Linked DNA regions of Arabidopsis thaliana. The protein of the gene in region 1 interacts with the protein of each later gene in a pairwise test. Each region holds a gene or a part of one and is shown on either strand. Other genes may lie near its edges.

Region 1 (4,334 bases):
GGATCGTGACATGATGGATATGAACTGGATAAAGAATTATTTTAAAGAAGAAAATCTCTCTGATAAATAAATTATTCGATTTGCTTCTTTTTTTTTTATGTATGGGAGATATTTTAAATGTATGTGACAGGGACATAGACACTCTTTGGTTGAGAAGATATGAACAACTCATTTAGTCACGTGTTGAATATGTACAGGCCAAAATACTGTATTTTAAACAATTGGAATTATTGTTTTACTTGTCAAGTGATCACTTTGTTCAACCCAATTCCCCAACTAATTTATTGTTTTATAGTGTCACACTGTCACGAGTAACTAAGCAGGTTCGTGGTCTCGGCCCAATTAAAAGGCCAATCAATTAAACTAAATGCAAGTGCCTATAACTCGACCTATGAAGCCCACTATCTTAGCGATTCGGCCCAAAAAGACAACTTGCCTTGTGTAAAATGATTTCACTTTGTATCCATCCAATGATTCCAATTAATGAGAAGTTATGTTCAGATTTAAGAATTCCAGTTAGTGAACAAAAAATCAACTACTGGAATTTGTTTTGCTTCTTATAAATTTGGTTAGAAAAACAAAACATAAGGTTTATATCTATAAACACAAAGAAATTGTACTAATGTACAGTTCCGAAACGAGTATAGTCAATTATTAAAAGTTAAAATAGTGAAACAAATAATTGCTCCATGAATGACATATTGACATCATTATCTGTTTCTTTGAGATAAGCTAATTTAGGAACTTGTCTCAATCCTGTAAAATGATTTGGACCCTACCTATTTTATTCATCTGTCTTTCTTTGCGTTCACAATTTGATCTTAATATATAAATATATAGTACATGATTGCACTAATATATATATATATATATATATATATATATATTATATGTAGTATAACTATACACGTATGAAGTTGAATTTTATAAAATAAAATTTTCTTTTAACTGAATTTCCAATAGTTGTTTATACATAATTTAGAAAGTTGCAACCATAAAATATATTTCACCATAAAACAACAAAATATGGTTTCCACGTACACATACACATAACACATACCTACTGAATATTCCGTAATTTACGATGCCTGATAATTTGGACCTAATAAAGTTAGTTAAGAGTAAACAGAATTACAAGGAAATTTTAAATTGAGTTTAAGAAAACTAGTAATTGATTTGGAATGCTAGTTATCAAACAAAAGGACAAATATATTTTTCGGATTATTTTTAATAACTTTTTTGTTTGTCACGAAACGACAAAAGCTTTGTCATAAAAACCAAATCCTATCAACTTGCTCAAAAAGCTTCAATAATATCGTACGTGTCCTGCACACGCAGATTCATAAATGTGTTTCTATGCTTTTACAATTTTAGCCTTATGCATAACAGCATAAGGTCTTAATGGTCCTCTCTCCTAATCAAAATTACATTCAAAAGTTGTTGTATAGTTTTTCATTATATTTTCAATAATTCATTTATTTTGTGCCTATGTTAAAACATTTTCATAATTCATTTATAATATTATTTAAATTTAAATGTTAAATATCTGTTCTGCGTTGGCTACTCCTGAATGCAAACAACATTGCAAAAGTATTTAGTTGTGTTTTTAATGCCTAATCACATTAATAGATACTAGATCTAAGGGAAATAGACTTTATGAAAAAATCAATTGACGTTAGGTAAAAATTTGTTTAGACTATTTTTGTCTACCAGCAGACAACTCTGACTAAATTTTTAATCTTATTTACTGCAACTAACTATTAATAAACTAATAAAATCCTAATTTACAATATAGATCTACAGTAAATGAATATAAAAGTCTGGTAGTACCGTAAATAGTACATCAAGATAAGGGTATAATAGTAAACAACCATCGTACTCGCTTCATCTTTTATTTTACTCTAAAATCTCTTTCTGAAGAAAACAACAAAGCAAAGCGTTGAAGAGAGAAGAAGAAGCAAAGATATAACCCCCAAAAGTATCAATTAGTTTCCATTTTCGCCGCTAAGATTCTGTTTTCGAACATTTACACCCTCAAGAATCGCCGCCATGTGTGGAGGAGCTATAATATCCGATTTCATTCCACCGCCGAGGTCTCGCCGTGTTACTAGCGAGTTTATTTGGCCGGATCTGAAGAAGAATTTGAAAGGATCGAAGAAAAGCTCGAAGAATCGTTCGAATTTCTTCGATTTTGACGCTGAGTTCGAAGCTGATTTCCAAGGTTTCAAAGATGATTCGTCTATCGATTGCGATGATGATTTCGACGTCGGTGATGTTTTCGCCGATGTGAAACCATTCGTTTTCACTTCGACTCCAAAACCCGCCGTCTCCGCCGCTGCGGAAGGTAAATATTTAGGGATTGACTTTAGTTTGAGCGATTGAATTGGTTAGAAATTAAGTTTCGATTCTATTTAGCTCTGTTCATAGATACCTTTATCTGCTTACGATTTTGATTGTTGTATAAAGCATGAGGTTTGATTTGTGTGATATTTATATGCATATGAGGTTGAGTGATGAGACTTGATTTGTGTGATGAGATTTGATTAGAGATTGTTGATGAGTTATTTATAGAAGAACTCTTTTGTTTTGTTGTTGTTTCACTACTAGGTTCAGTTTTTGGTAAGAAAGTTACTGGCTTGGATGGGGACGCTGAGAAATCTGCAAATAGGAAGAGGAAGAATCAGTACCGAGGGATTAGGCAACGTCCTTGGGGAAAATGGGCTGCTGAGATACGTGATCCAAGGGAAGGTGCTAGAATCTGGCTTGGAACGTTCAAGACAGCTGAGGAAGCTGCTAGAGCTTACGATGCTGCAGCGCGGAGAATCCGTGGATCTAAAGCTAAGGTGAATTTCCCTGAAGAAAACATGAAGGCTAATTCTCAGAAACGCTCTGTGAAGGCTAATCTTCAGAAACCAGTGGCTAAACCTAACCCTAACCCAAGTCCAGCTTTGGTTCAGAACTCGAACATCTCCTTTGAAAATATGTGTTTCATGGAGGAGAAACACCAAGTGAGCAACAACAACAACAACCAGTTTGGGATGACAAACTCCGTTGATGCTGGATGTAATGGGTATCAGTATTTCAGCTCTGACCAGGGTAGTAATTCTTTCGATTGTTCGGAGTTTGGTTGGAGCGATCAAGCTCCGATAACTCCCGACATCTCTTCTGCGGTTATCAACAACAACAACTCAGCTCTGTTCTTTGAGGAAGCCAATCCAGCTAAGAAGCTCAAGTCTATGGATTTCGAGACACCTTACAACAACACTGAATGGGACGCTTCACTGGATTTCCTCAACGAAGATGCTGTAACGACTCAGGACAATGGTGCAAACCCTATGGACCTATGGAGTATTGATGAAATTCATTCCATGATTGGAGGAGTCTTCTGAAGAGATCCAGTTTCATGTAAATAAGGCTGCATGTTTGTGAGTTTCCCGCATCGTTCGTTTATCAACCTCCAAAACTTTCTAATGTCTGTTACTTGCATCTTCTTCTGCTGTCTCTGTCTGTCTCTCTCAGGAGTTCCTGTTTGCATTGCGAGAAGCCATGAGCCTCTATCTTGAGGGTAGTTGTGATGAAGTTAAGTAGAGGCTTATTTTTAGGGGTTGTGGTAGTTTTTGTTTTAGTGAATCTTTTGAATTCGTTTGTGTTTTGTTTTTGTTACTTTATGCCCCAAAACTCCTTTAACATTTGTCATAATGTGTTTGAACCTCTCATCTGTTTAATCAAATAAATCTTCTTTGTATGCTACTAAGAGTATGTGAGAACTGTTGAACATAACAAAGAAGTCACAAGCTAAGTTTGAACCAAACCGGTTCTCGTAAATTTGTGATCAGAAAAAAAGCGGTGATCAACTGATCATCAAAGTGATTGCCTAGAGAAGTGCGCCACTTTTGTTATTTTGTGGTACAATGAATCTAGAGGGAACAAACGTTGAAACGACGACGTTAAACGACAGAAGAATCTCTAAAGGTTGAACTCTCTTTTTGCAAGTGGTAACTGGTGAGTTTGTGTCTTTCTCGTGACCGTTTCCTTATGATAACAGAAAATAAAAGAGAGTAAATTAACTCTTCTGGACAGTTCTGCTTCTTTAGGTCATTTTCACTCTGTATAAATATCTAAGCATTAGCACACATTCTTTATTTTTTACTGAAACATATTTATATGTATTTGGTAATTTAATCTACTGATTTTTCATATAAATTGTTGTTAGTTACCGTATTACTGTCAAAATGTAGCCCAAAATGTAAGTGTCAAGGTGCTTTGAGTTGTGTGATGACAAGTTTGACATAACATTTGGTTTCTCCTATTATTGTGAAGAAATGAAATTATCT
Region 2 (4,827 bases), on another chromosome or scaffold:
ATAGAGAAACGATACAACCATAGCTTGTTGAAAGTTTCAACCCCAAATACGCTTCCATGACTGCACTATGTCATTACTCATTTCAGAAGAATTCTGTGCCTGGCTGTTTATGAAAACTGAAACAGTTTATATTTATTGTCTTTGATTATTACTTTTTCATGCAAGATAATGGGTTGTGGGATTCACTTTTGTAGATGCATAGTGTCGGTTTTGTTGACCCGGATGACATGAATGTTGTTTCTGGTAGACGTAAGTACTCAAGCCTTATAGGATACTCAAGCAGCAAGCTTGCCCAGGTGAGCTTACAGTAATGACATCTGCCGTAGTTTTCATCTGCCGTAGTTTCCATTTTCTGAAAGAGGCTTATTTTCAGAAACTGGTGAGTTAAGTCTCGCTCTCTGATCTTCCATCTTCCAGATTATGTTTAGTAGCATTCTTTTCAAAAAGCTTCCTCTGGAAACAGGAGTCAGCGTCGTATGTCTATCCCCTGGTGTTGTCCTAACAAATGTTGTGAGTATTAGCTTCACTTCATTTCGTTACAAGTGCAGGATTCCTCTGTTTTCTCAGAAATTCATTGCGTTGAACTGCCTATTTCTTTCCGAAATTTACAGGCCAGGGATCTATCCAGGATTCTTCAAGCTCTTTACGCAGTGATACCTTATTTCATATTTTCACCCCAAGAAGGTTGTAGAAGTTCTCTATTCTCGGCCACAGATCCTCAGATTCCAGAGTACTGGGAAACACTAAAAAACGATGATTGGCCTGTTTGCCCATTCATCTCTCAAGATTGCCGCCCTGCAAATCCTTCCGAAGAAGCACACAACACAGAAACTGCACAGAGAGTGTGGAAAAAGACGTTAGAGCTGGTGGGTCTTCCTCTCGATGCAGTTGAGAAGCTCATAGAAGGGGAAAATATCCAATGCCGGTATGGAGCACAACACGAATAGTCTTTCAAAATTACCACAGGTTAAGTGACCCATTACAGATCAAAGGGTAGGTAATTGAGAAAATATCTTTTTTTTTTGTTTCCTTGTATTAATCTACACGATACAGTGGGGAATGAATCCCCCAGGCATGTAGTTTGCTTGAGAATGTTTGATTGTTGGATAAAAGTCAAGCTTTAGCTACCATTCCATTGCTTTTACTTACAAGTCTTGTTCAAGTATTTGGTTAGTGTGTCTTGGAGTTATTAAGATGTTCAGTAGTAGAGTATGGTAGCCTGGGTTGGTGGGTAGTTTCTTGTTTGAGTTTAGGGTATTTTCGTAATTTTCTTTATTGTTTGTGGAGTCACGTTGCTCATATATAGTTATAGGGATATATATCAATTAGAGTCATCATCTCTCTTACTCTCATGGTGACAAAGTCACAAAAGTGATAAACTCTCCTTTCCACTTTCTAATGTTTCTTGCTTAAATGAGTATTCCATGTAAAAATGATTCACTCACTCGTATGGGTGGGTTGGGTTTTCTCTTCATGAGATGCTCATTTGAGCAAGCAATGTTTGGAAGTGGGACTATTTAATATCATGTATGAGTTTTATCTTTTGTTATAAGAAAAAAAGTTGGGATTTCATTTTCGTGCCCACTTCACGTGAATCTAATGCCTTCAAGTTTGTGGTCTACCTTATTTTCTCTTATGGATACATGTCAATTTACGTGTCGTATGAGTCAAGCCTTTAATCATCCCAACACCATGCACGTCTTCTAGATTTGTTTTCGACCACGATTCCACCACAAAATTTGACATTGTTATTGAATTCATTAACTTTTTTACGTGTTATTGTGAAATATTTATTTAATTTTGTTGGTAAAAGGAGCAAAAAAGATTAGGGTACAACACGTCGACTTCTTCCCCAATTAGACCCATATGTGATCTGTCGTCACTCGTCGCCAAGTTTTTTTATGTGTCGTCTTTTAAACTTTGATCCAATTCATTAAAAAGTCTTAACGCCCACAACGAAAAGGAACTTCTCTTTTTGTTTGGTGACTGAATCGGTGGAAAACAACACAAGTTTGTTCCTTTTTGTCTCTCCAGATCCCTTGGCTTCCTTCTTCTTCTTCATCCTCCTCGTGAGACTCTGTGTTGAAATTTCTCTAGGGTTTTAATTATCGGCGTTGGTTTTTCGTTTTTGAGAATTTGATTTCGTTTTTAGAAATAATGGGTGATTGGGCTCAACTTGCTCAGTCTGTGATCCTAGGTTTGATTTTCTCTTACCTTCTCGCTAAGCTGATCTCGATCGTCGTCACGTTTAAAGAAGACAATCTCTCTCTTACTCGTCACCCAGAGGAGTCTCAATTGGAAATTAAACCGGAAGGAGTTGACTCGCGACGTCTCGATTCCTCTTGCGGTGGTTTCGGTGGTGAGGCGGATTCGCTTGTGGCGGAGCAGGGTAGCTCCCGAAGTGATAGCGTTGCCGGTGACGACAGTGAGGAAGATGATGATTGGGAAGGCGTCGAGAGCACGGAACTCGATGAGGCTTTTAGCGCCGCCACTCTTTTTGTGACTACCGCCGCCGCAGATCGGCTTTCGCAGAAGGTACCGAGTGATGTGCAGCAGCAGCTTTACGGATTGTATAAGATTGCTACGGAAGGGCCGTGTACTGCTCCTCAGCCATCAGCTCTCAAAATGACTGCTCGTGCCAAGTGGTATCTCTCTCTTTCGTTGAATCTGCTGTGCCATTAACTTCTATGTATCATTTTCTGGTGTTTTTGTTCAACTGTTTGAGATTTGATTTGAGGTGGAAATTTTTGAGGTTTTAGGTTCTTCATAGACAATCACCTAGTTTGCTTCTTAGCTTATGCAACTGCTGGACGATGATGTGGTTTTTACTGTTGTAACAGTTGATTGTATATGGAATTGTGGTTTGTTGTAAGATTGCAATTTCATTGATTGGGATGTGCCATGATCTTGTTCTATCTCAGGCAAGCATGGCAGAAACTGGGAGCTATGCCACCTGAAGAGGCGATGGAGAAGTATATTGAGATTGTCACTCAGCTTTACCCAACTTGGTTAGACGGTGGCGTGGTATAAAGCTTTTTCCCCTTTTCTTTGTTTGATTGCTTCGGTTTCTTCCTCTGGCCTGTTCATGTGAGCTTCACTAACAGAAAGCCGGAAGTCGGGGTGGGGATGATGCAGCCTCCAACTCAAGAGGAACCATGGGACCAGTTTTTAGCTCTTTGGTTTATGATGAGGAGTCCGAAAATGAGTTGTAAGGTTCTCTTCTTGTATTCTCATGTGTTTTATATCCTGATCCTTGCGTTCATGTCTAGATTAGATATAAGTATCCTGATTTGTGAAAGAGGCTCATAAACTCGGTGAATATGTAACATTACTGTCTCGTTCTAGCTGTAGCAAATTTTGATGGTGAAATGGCTACAATTGTCTCATGGAACTTTGAGCTGTTCGTTTCTTCCTGTCTATCTGAATGAAACACTAATCCTCTGCTCATTGAACTTTTGTTTTATCTCTCAGGAAGATTGATGCCATACACGGATTTGCTAGAGAAGGAGAAGTCGAGAATTTACTGAAAAGCATTGAAAGCGGCATTCCTGTAAATGCAAGGGGTTAGTCTCTGCTTGTATATTCCGTTTCTTGGAAGTTCATTCTCGTGATGTTGGATCTGCATTCTAATTTTCCCATAAACTGCAGACAGTGAAGGTCGCACACCATTGCACTGGGCTATAGACCGTGGCCACCTCAACATCGCCAAAGTTCTGGTCGATAAGAACGCCGATGTGAATGCTAAGGTGACGAAAGAGAAATTCCTACCCAGTCATTATCTGCAAAGTTAGCAACTTCTTTATTTATGTGTTTTTGGTTCTTGTGTTGAACAGGACAACGAAGGCCAAACCCCTTTGCATTATGCTGTTGTATGCGACAGAGAAGCTATCGCCGAGTTTCTGGTTAAACAGAACGCAAACACAGCCGCTAAAGATGAGGATGGAAACTCTCCCCTTGATCTCTGTGAATCAGACTGGCCCTGGATCCGAGATTCTGCAAAGCAGGCAGACTAAACAAATACTAACCACGTCTTCTCTAAATCCGCAATGTATATGATCAAATGACTTAGTAAGAAGCTTTTCTTTACTTTAAACTTTCTTTCCATCCCTACCACATCACTGGGATGTTCCAACACTATATCACTTGGATGTTACCAAGTCTTGTTCTTTGATTTCTTTCTTCTTACATTTTAACAATCTTTTGTTCCTTTAGGCTTTATGATATGTCGTAACCGGTTTTGTTGGTTTGCTATAAATACACACATATAGACAGAGGAAGAGTCATTGGATCCTCAACGAATAAATAACCGACTTTGGCGGCAAAAACGGTTGATAGAACATAATTTAATGATTTAAGGAAAGCCCCCAATAAAGCAAATACAAAAACAGAATTAGCAATCTTCGTGGCCCTTTCGTCTTCTCTCCCTACCCCACCTTGGACTACCGGAAAATGGCCAAGGTGGTGGTTTACACGATACTAACCGCCACCATCATCTTCCTCATCCTCCTCGCTCATAAGAAACAAAACCAGACTCAATCCATTGAGGGTCTCATAACCCGCCGCATCGGACGGAGGCTTGAAATGCCGGTGTTTGACCCTTTGGTGACCCGGATTGAGAGGTTGTCTCATGAGAAAGAAGCTGGTACGAAGACCGTGGAGGCTGCGAAAGAGGAGAAAGATGATATGTTTGAGGAGTATTTTGCACAAGAGAGAAGGCTTAACACGACAATGAGGATCAAGTTCTTGTTTCCTCTGCTTGACGCGTCTCCAAGAGATGGCTTTGTGAGCTTGAAAGAGCTTCAGACATGGATGATGCAACAGACAGAA
Region 3 (4,928 bases), on another chromosome or scaffold:
ATATATATTGGTCATTTTTTTGGTATTTGCTCGATAATAGAGTTGATGGGAAACCTTGATAATATTAAAAATTATCATATGAATTTTGGAGGAAAGACAGCAACACACTCGAGAACTCTCTGGAAAATTGCGTTTTCACTTTTTTTGTTTTCCAGGATTAGTTGATCTAAAATCTATAATATATATTAATAAATACAACCTAATAAACAAAAATTATTTATGTTTCAGTTAATGTAACCCATTAATATAGAAGTAATCTCGTAAATATGGAGTTGATTAAAAATATGTACTTAATCAAATTCATCTATATATATATATATGTGTATATATATATATATATATATATATGAATTATATTACGATCAAATTATCTTAGCTTTTAAAATAAAATTTTTTTATCTTAGCTCTTATTCAAAAGTCTTTATTCCATCACAAGGTTATGTTATCTTTTGTATTTTTATTTTATTTTATACAAGGACTTCCAAGTTCCAACATTTCAATTTCTAAGTACATGCATATCTTATTAAATAGTGATTTAAATACACAAAAATATGAAATAAATTCTAAACAAGGTCCACTCTATAAAAGAAGAAAACCCACAAATTCCAAAGCCCAAATTAAAACACCAAAAGAGCCCAAAATACAAACTCATTCTTCACCACTAAAATATTCCAAAGCAAAGCAACGAACATAACGGATAAGTGTTATCCTCATCTAGTCATCTTCACCCTCTAACTCACCGAGAAAGAAAAGTAAAGAGAGTTTGGTGTCACTATGAACATTGCCATTCATAATTACCGTCACTCAAAATTCATCGTAAATCCTCACATAGACAAGACTTTTGCAAGGACTCGACAGGCAAGATCAAATAATATTACATTCATGACAAGTACTCATGGAAGAAGAAGAACGATGGGACTTTGTTTGGTAAGAGCAAGTGCCGAGACCGGAGAAGAAGAATCCGACGATCAAAACAAGCCTGAGAGAAGAAGTTTCTTGAGCTTAGCAGAAGCTGGTCTAGTCGAAATCTCAGGCCTTGGTGCACACGAGAAGTTTCTCTGTCGACTAACGGTAAATTAAATCATAAATTTATCCCTACATATTATAAACCCTCCAATACCAAATTTTAATTGCAATCTATTAATAAATCTCTTACATTGTTTTGAAATATATTGGTATGGTTAAGATAGGAAATGAAACATTAATTTTACATAGGAAATTGAAACCATATGTAGTTGTGAAACAAAAGAAAATCTTATAACACGTCCTCAAGAAATGAAGTGTGATTAACAGTCTATAGTAAACATATGTACATTAAGTAAATAACTGGAATATCATTTTTCTTAGAAGCATGTACATTGATTTATAGATGTTTCGTATGAACTTCTTCTTATATTTTGGAACTGGATTTGGCAGATATCATCATTGAATTTGCTAAGAGTGATATCAGAGCAAGAAGGATGTTCAATAGAAGAGTTGAATGCTGGCAAAATATGTGATTGGTTCCTTAAGGACAAGCTGAAGAGAGAGCATAACATTGAATCTGCTGTTCTTCAATGGGATGATCCCGATTTTCCTTTTTAAATATCCTTATTTTTTACATTCAAGCCACACAAAAGTATGATCATTAACAAGGTGAATATGTATCGTAAGTCTTAATTAGTCTATTGTGGTCTGACTAGGAAAATATAAACCTTTTGTTAAGTCCTACAATAAAACGTATTCAACAATTCCAAATATTATCCATGACTGAAATACATAAAGAAAAGGTTTAAATTTTATCTAGAAACCAGGAAAAAAGACAACAGTAAACAAACAATTAAAAAAGAAAAGACTTTGAAAGAAAATCCAAAAGTTGTAGAAGAAAAGACTTAAATAAACACAAAGAGAATCCAATACGCTGTCGTTTTTGAGCAAAGTCTCTATCGACTTTTTTCCTTCCGTTAATCAAGCCATCGGATATTAAATAATTACAAAATTATTTTCAGACAAAACACGGACGCGAAATCAACCAATTAAATCCACTTCTCTCTCACCATCTCACGTCCGATCTCTCCTCTCTGAGCTCTCATCACGAGTCAACCCCTTTCTCCGTCGAAATTCGCATGCTTAAACTCTGAGAGAAGAAGATGACTATGACGGAGGAGAAACCAACTTCCGACGGCAAAGGAGGTTGGGGTTTCTTCAAGATTCCATTTCGTAACTCAAGCGGTCACAGAAACGCCGCTTCAAGTGCTGCTACTTCTCCGTTTCCATCTGGAGCTTCTTCTTCTTCTACTTCTTCTCATCTACATAACCATCATCAACATCATCATCAACATCACCATCAGCACCATCATCAGCTTGGTTATAACGGTCCTCACGGTGATGGATCGGGTCAAAATCAACATCCGACTCCTTCTCCTTCAGTTTCATCTGTTGCTAAGTCTTTTCTTCCTACTAAACGAAGATTGAAGCTTGATCCTTCTGAGAAACTCTATTTTCCTTGTGAGCTTTTTTCGAATCTCATTTTGATCGGAGTAGTTTCTCTGGAATTACAGTCTTTTTTTCATTGTCTAGGGTTTGTTTCTGAAGATTTGAGATCCATTGACACTAGTCTAAAATTTCTATCTTTTAGTAGAATTTGAGTATTTGACTGATCTGATTATGTGGATTGATACATAAGTTTGATAATTGACTCAATAGGAAACATAAAGTTTGAAACTTTTTGGAAGTTAAGAGCAGAATCTTGACATTGGATTATAATTCTAACTTACCATTACTCTAAATATGGTCTTCCTTTAAGCATTCTGAAATTAGGAGTCTTTTATAGATACGAATGATTTTAGCTATCAAATGATTTTGCAGGAAGGTTTTGGTGTATACTTAGGCCATGTTTTTTTTTTCTTCATGATTTGGATTTTGGAAGTTTAGTTGTTTTCTGTTACAAGTAATGCTGTGGAGTACTGAATTAGATTATTACTTTGTTTTGAAGATGAGCCTGGGAAGCAAGTTAGGAGTGCTATTAAGATTAAAAATACAAGCAAATCACATGTAGCCTTCAAGGTTTGTTTTTTGATCTAAAGCGTTTTGGTTATTGGGTCTTTGGCATTATTGTATATGAGCTTACTCGTTGCTCTTTCAGTTTCAAACAACTGCGCCGAAGAGTTGCTTTATGCGTCCACCTGGTGCTATTCTTGCTCCTGGAGAGACTATTATTGCTACTGGTATTTGTTTTTTTTGTTTTCTCGCCTCTGTTCTTATTCTTCTTGATGAGGCTATCAGAACAATGGCTTATTCAATGTTTCTCTGATTGAAATGTGCAGTGTTTAAATTTGTTGAGCCTCCTGAGAATAATGAGAAGCCAATGGATCAAAGGAGCAGAGTGAAGTTTAAAATCATGAGCCTGAAGGTGAAAGGTCCAATGGACTATGTGCCTGAGCTGGTATGTTGATCTTCTGATCTTATCTATTAGCTGATCTTTGAACATGAAAACAGTAGTAACATATCCGAATCCAGATAGAACATAAGATATTGACCCATCTCTAAAACATAAGATATCAATGACTAGACTAAGAATGTGTTTTGGTCTGAGTAGAGGTTTCCAGTTACCTTTTAAGGCACAAACATATAACCAAGCATTCCACTGAATGCTGTTTCCATCTAAAAGACATATCGATTGCTTTTGTTTTTGTTTTTTTCTCAGTTCGATGAGCAAAAGGATGATGTCTCTAAGGAGCAAATATTGCGTGTGATTTTCTTGGATCCTGAGCGCTCCAACCCTGTGAGTATCCGAATAATTTTGCTTATGATGACGATTCTATTATTTTACGACCTCCCTCTTTAATAATCTATGTGATAAATGACATAGGCATTGGAAAAACTGAAGCGTCAATTAGCAGAAGCGGATGCAGCGGTGGAGGCACGAAAGAAACCTCCAGAGGAAACAGGTCCAAAGATGATTGGAGAAGGGCTTGTGATCGATGAATGGGTCAGTCTCATTTGCTATCCAGTGTCTCTTCCATTAGATGATTGTGAAAATCTGACATTGTTTTTGTCTTACCTCTAATAAAAACACAGAAGGAGCGTAGAGAGAGATATCTTGCACAGCAACAAGGCGAAGGAGCTGACTCTGTCTGAGAGACTAAAAGAGTTTTCTCAGGACAAAAACAAGTGCGCTTGTGAAGATGAAGAAGAAGGGACCGCTATATTGAATTTATATGCTAACTTCTAGATTCATGATGCAATATATAAGGATCATGCTGGTAAAAAAAAAAGACAATGAAGGAAACTTTTTTCATGTAAAAAAGAAATGTAAACTTGGGTTTGATGATAATGAATTGTTCATGTTAAGGACTAATAAAAACAGAGAAGAAAGTGTACTAAAATCGAAATTTGAGCTCTCCAATTACTAAATCGGTGCTAAATGAACCGGTCGGTCGTTTCTATATTTGATTCGTTCGGTTTATCCTTTAACCGGTCGAACCGAAGCTTCTTTTGTTCGTATGAAGAAAACTAAAATCCAAATCTCTCTCTGGTACACCATGAGAGGAGCTCTGTTCAGAAATGCATCTCTCTGCGCTCGCAGAATCATTCTTTCTTCTAGGATCTCCCCCAATGTTCCCTTTCTCACTCCAATCGCCGCTCCGGCTCCTCCCAAATTCAGATTTTTCAGTTCCGAATCCGGTGAGAACTCGACTACTGCCACTGAGTCTTCGCCGACTGATTCATCCGATAAGAAGGATCTCGTTGTAGAGGATGTCAGCAACAAAGGTAACAGACTCTATCCTCTCTTCAAGCTTGTTTGGTTACCTCACACTTGAAATGGCCTTGTATTAGTTGAAATGTGTGAGTCTAATTCTCATCTCGCCATTTCTGAATGCCTCACAGTTTTCAATTGATCCTTCGATATAAGATTCGTAGCTTCTTATCTCCTGAACTACTAGGTA
Region 4 (4,919 bases), on another chromosome or scaffold:
GGGTTAGCTGCGGCTGACCAGCTGAACAAAATGGGCCATTTAGTAACCGTGTATGAGCGCTCGGACAGAATTGGTGGGCTGATGATGTATGGAGTACCAAACATGAAGACTGACAAAATTGACGTCGTTCAACGGCGGGTTGATCTTATGACCAAAGAAGGTATCAACTTTGTGGTCAATGCCAATATTGGAAAGGACCCATCTTACTCCCTTGATGGACTTAAGGAAGAGAATGATGCAATCGTTCTTGCTGTTGGTTCCACAAAACCAAGGTAATATTTTGTTTCAAACAATGCTGAATTCCTATTTATGTTACCAGACGTTCAAATGGATTATGGTGAACTAACCGAGACATTATTGGGGTAATTTTGCAGAGATCTTCCAGTGCCTGGTCGTGATCTATCTGGTGTTCACTTTGCCATGGAGTTTCTTCATGCAAACACCAAAAGTTTACTTGACAGCAATCATGAGGATGGCAATTACATTTCTGCAAAAGGGAAAAAGGTTGTTGTTATTGGTGGAGGTGATACCGGCACAGATTGCATCGGAACATCTATCCGCCATGGATGTACCAACATTGTAAACCTAGAACTTCTTCCTCAGCCACCCTCAACAAGAGCTCCTGGAAACCCTTGGCCACAGGTTTGTTTCAGATCTTCTACACTCAATCCTTTTAGCAACTTCTTCAAGATTTTTGCATCCATTGGATTAAAAAGAGTTGTGAGCAAGGTTGGATATTGTTGATTTTAATGAGCTTCCGTGTGAATACAGTGGCCTCGTGTATTCCGTATTGACTACGGACATCAAGAAGCTACCACCAAATTCGGAAAAGACCCTAGGACCTATGAGGTCTTAACGAAGAGGTTCATAGGAGATGACAATGGAAACGTGAAGGGGCTTGAACTTGTGCGTGTGAGTTGGGAGAAGGATGAAACCGGGAGGTTCCAGTTCAAGGAGATCGAAGGCTCTGAGGAAATCATTGAAGCAGACCTCGTTTTCTTGGCCATGGGTTTCCTTGGACCTGAGCCAGTAAGTGATTCCCGTTGTGTACCCTCTTCTTATATATTGTGGGTCTTGTGGCAATGATTTAAAACCAATTGCTTGTTTTTGTTTTTACAGACACTTGCTGAGAAGCTAGGTCTCGAATGTGACAACAGGTCAAACTTTAAGGCCGAGTATGGCCGGTTTTCCACAACCGTGGAAGGTGTTTTCGCAGCAGGTGATTGTCGGAGAGGCCAGTCTTTGGTTGTCTGGGCTATCTCAGAAGGACGTCAAGCTGCAGATCAGGTAGACAAATTCCTCACCAAAACGGATGATGACGAAGACGCCAAGCTACAACAAGACCTTAACCAGATGAAACACAACACTATCACAAACTGAGGTAAAAGAAAGCCTTACTCATCTGAAGCAAAAGTCGAGAGAGAAAGACAACTGATGTTACTCTTTTAGAGGACACACAGGCGTAAAGGACCGACTTATGGCAGAGATGAAGGAAGAGAGTTGCAGAGGAAAAGTACCGAACTTGATGATTTAGTAGAGAGAAGTAAAAGTTTAGGTTTGTTTTTGTTTATTATCGTCCATAAAGTAATAATGATTCATAAGTACATTCTCTTTGTAGGATTTCAGTAGCTTTCTTTTGTTAAAGCTTTCTGAAATTGAAAGCCTTTTGTTTTTTCTCTATGGCTGTTTCTAAGTTTGAATTTTAAGGAATTGTAATGCAGTTCCTGCTTCTTGTTTTTGCCCTCTTTGTGTTCTTTCATATTATTTATGGTGGTGTAAACTGTAAACAATGTTAGGAATCATAAGACTTGCTCAGTAAAATAGTGAAAAAAATGATCTTCAATTACACAGTGAAGATTGAGGTATGTAAAACCGGTATGTAGTTTGTCTCCAACAAATTTCTTCATTTTTTCTCGGTCCCAACCAGTTGGTAGATGAAAAGCGGTCCAATTAACAAACGGATTCGTCAGTTGTCTCTCGTCGCAACCATTCAATCCTACGTGTAATTCCTCAGTTGTCTCTGGTCTTCAACAAAAGACAAGCCCACAAAGAGAAAACAAAAAAAAAGTAAAGAAAAAGAAAATTGTGAAGCGGTGAAAACAAGAGTTCCAAAAAGGTGGCTCCTTTTTGTTTCTGGAGATGCGTTATTGTGACCCTTCTTTGAAATTTAGGGTTCATTTTCTCAGATTTCGAGTTCGTTGTGTTTGAATCTCTATTGGGTTTACTTTCTTATTCGATTTGGGGGAAATGGCTGATTGGTATCAGCTTGCACAGTCTATAATCTTTGGTTTGATCTTCGCTTACCTTCTCGCTAAGCTAATCTCTATCCTCCTCGCTTTTAAAGACGAGAATCTCTCACTCACTCGTAACCACACGACTCAATCGGAGTATGAGAACTTGCGAAAGGTCGAAACTTTAACTGGGATTAGCGGCGAGACTGATTCTCTTATAGCTGAGCAAGGTAGCTTGAGAGGTGATGAAGATGAATCAGATGATGATGATTGGGAAGGTGTCGAAAGTACAGAACTTGATGAGGCATTTAGTGCTGCTACGGCTTTTGTTGCTGCTGCTGCATCGGATAGGCTTTCGCAGAAAGTTTCTAATGAGTTGCAACTTCAGCTTTATGGATTGTATAAAATTGCTACTGAAGGACCTTGTACTGCTCCTCAACCATCAGCTCTTAAAATGACTGCTCGTGCCAAGTGGTTTGTCTAACACTCTTATTGATTCTCTGATTCAAATGTTTGGGACTGTGAAAGATGATTGCTTGATCATGTTTACTTGTGATGTACTGATGTTTCTTGATCATGGATGTATATTATTTTGATTTCACCAAGTTCGTATCTTTCATTGCTAATGTATGGAAAGGATTGCTTTTGTTGGTGTATTGATTAGTGATCTGATTCAAATCTTATGACTGTGAAGATTGTTACTTAATCATGTTTACTTGTGATGTACTGATTATTCTTCATCCTGGATGTATCTTGCTTTGTGTGAGTACCGAAAGGATTTGCTTTTGTTGTTTTGTTGATTGGTAACTTAGGGATGCATTTTGATCGACTGAGATTTGTTATGATCTTTTTTGTTCTAGGCAAGCATGGCAGAAATTGGGTGCTATGCCTCCTGAGGAAGCGATGGAGAAGTATATCGACCTTGTTACTCAGCTTTACCCAGCTTGGGTTGAAGGTGGCTCGGTTAGTTGTCTTCTTACCTGCTTCTGTTATTCCCATTTCTTTGGACTGTTTATGGATGGTCTGTTTTCGTTCTTAAATCTGTCTTTATTTCTTGGCTTGTTTGCTTCGTTGCGGACTATTAGAAACGAAGAAATCGGAGTGGTGAGGCTGCAGGCCCCATGGGACCGGTTTTTAGCTCATTGGTGTACGAAGAGGAATCTGACAATGAGTTGTAAGGTTCCTAAGCAATTAGTTACAGATTCATCTATGAACTTTTGGTTTTCTTTTCTCAGTTTCTCTATATGACTAGCTGACTAGATCAGAGAAGGAATGTATATATCATAATACTCACCTTAGGTAGATCAAAGAATCATGTGTTAGTTTAAATCATAGTAGAAGCTCTGTTCATTCTTGCGTTCTTACTCCATGTTCCAGGAAGATTGACGCCATACACGCCTTTGCTAGAGAAGGAGAAGTCGAGAATCTATTGAAATGCATAGAAAATGGCATACCCGTAAATGCAAGAGGTTAGTAGTCTTGTATCATTTTCACAGAATGTTCGGATCTGGTTTGGAAACTTAACAGTTTCTCCATCTTGGAAATGTCAGATAGTGAAGGTCGAACACCACTGCATTGGGCTATAGACCGTGGCCATCTTAACGTTGCTGAAGCTCTGGTTGATAAGAACGCAGATGTGAATGCTAAAGTAAATAAATAACCAAAACCCCCTAAACTAATTCTTTCTCTCAATTACAGACTTTTATGTTTTTGTCGCTGACAAACTTTGTGCAGGACAATGAAGGCCAAACCTCTCTACACTATGCTGTTGTGTGCGAAAGAGAAGCACTCGCCGAGTTTCTGGTGAAGCAGAAAGCTGATACAACCATTAAAGACGAAGACGGAAACTCGCCTCTTGATCTCTGTGAATCAGAATGGTCTTGGATGCGAGAGAAGAAGGATTCCAATTAGTGTTTTTTAAGTCTTTAAAATTGTGTGTCAAAGCTAGATGCTTGTGTTTTTCTTACATTTCCTCTGAGCCTCTTTGCTTCCTCTTAAGCTTATGTTTTAACATACAACAACACAAGTTACATATGATATAGTAGCTCTAGTTTTTATTGGTTACTATATTGAACCCAGAGAGATCATCATCATCAATCATCATAACTCAATAATAGTTTTTTTTTTGTTAGTATAATGTTTCTCTCTTTCGTTCGTGACCCTTTCATGTTTTTTCAGCCATCTGAATCATTATTATCATACCTGTAAAACAATTTTGTTGATTACTTGTAAAATTTATAAGTATTTTAAATATGATACAAATTGTACCTTCGGAATAAGAAAAGAAAAAAAATCTTCTTCTTCGCATCTCGCTGTAAAACAATCCGGACCGTTGATTAATTAACGATGAGAATATATAAGGTGGGGTTCAGATAAGGACCACCCAACACGCGATGTACGACATAATCACTCCAGATTATATCAATTCTTTAATCAGAAATATATTTTTAGTGTGCAAAAATCATAAAGAAAAATATTTTCCCTTTTTATATATATATTGGGTAATTCAGATTTTTTTCTATTTATGTTTTTATTTGAAAAAAATAAGATACACTGAACAAACAATTATGATTGGAAACAAATTTTCATATTTAGAAGATTTATACAACTTTTTTTTAATTGGGTAATTTTAAAAGATATTTTCCTATATATAGTTTTTATAAAAATATTAGGATACACTGAACAAAA

The links.
Region 2: the proteins of RAP2.12 (region 1) and ACBP2 interact in binary tests that used the Arabidopsis thaliana proteins (3 or more experiments, as listed by UniProt).
Region 3: the proteins of RAP2.12 (region 1) and AT4G21450 interact in binary tests that used the Arabidopsis thaliana proteins (3 or more experiments, as listed by UniProt).
Region 4: the proteins of RAP2.12 (region 1) and ACBP1 interact in binary tests that used the Arabidopsis thaliana proteins (3 or more experiments, as listed by UniProt).

Annotation. Positions count from the first base shown.
Region 1 is NC_003070.9:20,133,193-20,137,526, forward strand, and holds RAP2.12 (uncharacterized protein), read left to right. Parts: upstream 1-1,651; 5' UTR 1,652-2,049; coding exon 2,050-2,344; intron 2,345-2,607; coding exon 2,608-3,389; 3' UTR 3,390-3,821; downstream 3,822-4,334. UniProt on the Arabidopsis thaliana protein: Transcription factor involved in the activation of hypoxic gene expression and in ethylene response. Partially redundant with RAP2-2. Acts as a downstream regulator in the ethylene signaling pathway.
Region 2 is NC_003075.7:13,845,617-13,850,443, forward strand, and holds ACBP2 (acyl-CoA binding protein 2), read left to right. Parts: upstream 1-1,932; 5' UTR 1,933-2,157; coding exon 2,158-2,645; intron 2,646-2,921; coding exon 2,922-3,024; intron 3,025-3,104; coding exon 3,105-3,208; intron 3,209-3,471; coding exon 3,472-3,563; coding exon of another isoform or gene 3,564-3,568; exon of another isoform or gene 3,569-3,648; coding exon 3,649-3,746; intron 3,747-3,833; coding exon 3,834-4,013; 3' UTR 4,014-4,318; downstream 4,319-4,827. Other genes in the region: FEY (NAD(P)-binding Rossmann-fold superfamily protein), read left to right, coding at 195-296, 418-510, 612-947; AT4G27790 (Calcium-binding EF hand family protein), read left to right, coding at 4,450-4,827. UniProt on the Arabidopsis thaliana protein: Binds medium- and long-chain acyl-CoA esters with very high affinity. Can interact in vitro with palmitoyl-CoA, but not with oleoyl-CoA. Binds to lead ions (Pb). May function as an intracellular carrier of acyl-CoA esters.
Region 3 is NC_003075.7:11,424,007-11,428,934, forward strand, and holds AT4G21450 (PapD-like superfamily protein), read left to right. Parts: upstream 1-1,950; 5' UTR 1,951-2,129; coding exon 2,130-2,487; intron 2,488-2,559; coding exon 2,560-2,616; intron 2,617-2,974; coding exon 2,975-3,045; intron 3,046-3,124; coding exon 3,125-3,206; intron 3,207-3,305; coding exon 3,306-3,424; coding exon of another isoform or gene 3,425-3,433; exon of another isoform or gene 3,434-3,685; coding exon 3,686-3,763; intron 3,764-3,850; coding exon 3,851-3,970; intron 3,971-4,059; coding exon 4,060-4,119; 3' UTR 4,120-4,380; downstream 4,381-4,928. Other genes in the region: AT4G21445 (receptor-interacting protein), read left to right, coding at 775-1,071, 1,417-1,584; AT4G21460 (Ribosomal protein S24/S35), read left to right, coding at 4,485-4,752. UniProt on the Arabidopsis thaliana protein: May play a role in vesicle trafficking.
Region 4 is NC_003076.8:21,708,250-21,713,168, forward strand, and holds ACBP1 (acyl-CoA binding protein 1), read left to right. Parts: upstream 1-1,920; 5' UTR 1,921-2,247; coding exon 2,248-2,705; intron 2,706-3,091; coding exon 3,092-3,194; intron 3,195-3,316; coding exon 3,317-3,405; intron 3,406-3,608; coding exon 3,609-3,700; intron 3,701-3,781; coding exon 3,782-3,879; intron 3,880-3,965; coding exon 3,966-4,142; 3' UTR 4,143-4,365; downstream 4,366-4,919. Other genes in the region: GLT1 (NADH-dependent glutamate synthase 1), read left to right, coding at 1-272, 375-642, 772-1,029, 1,120-1,380. UniProt on the Arabidopsis thaliana protein: Binds medium- and long-chain acyl-CoA esters with very high affinity. Can interact in vitro with arachidonyl-CoA, barely with oleoyl-CoA, but not with palmitoyl-CoA.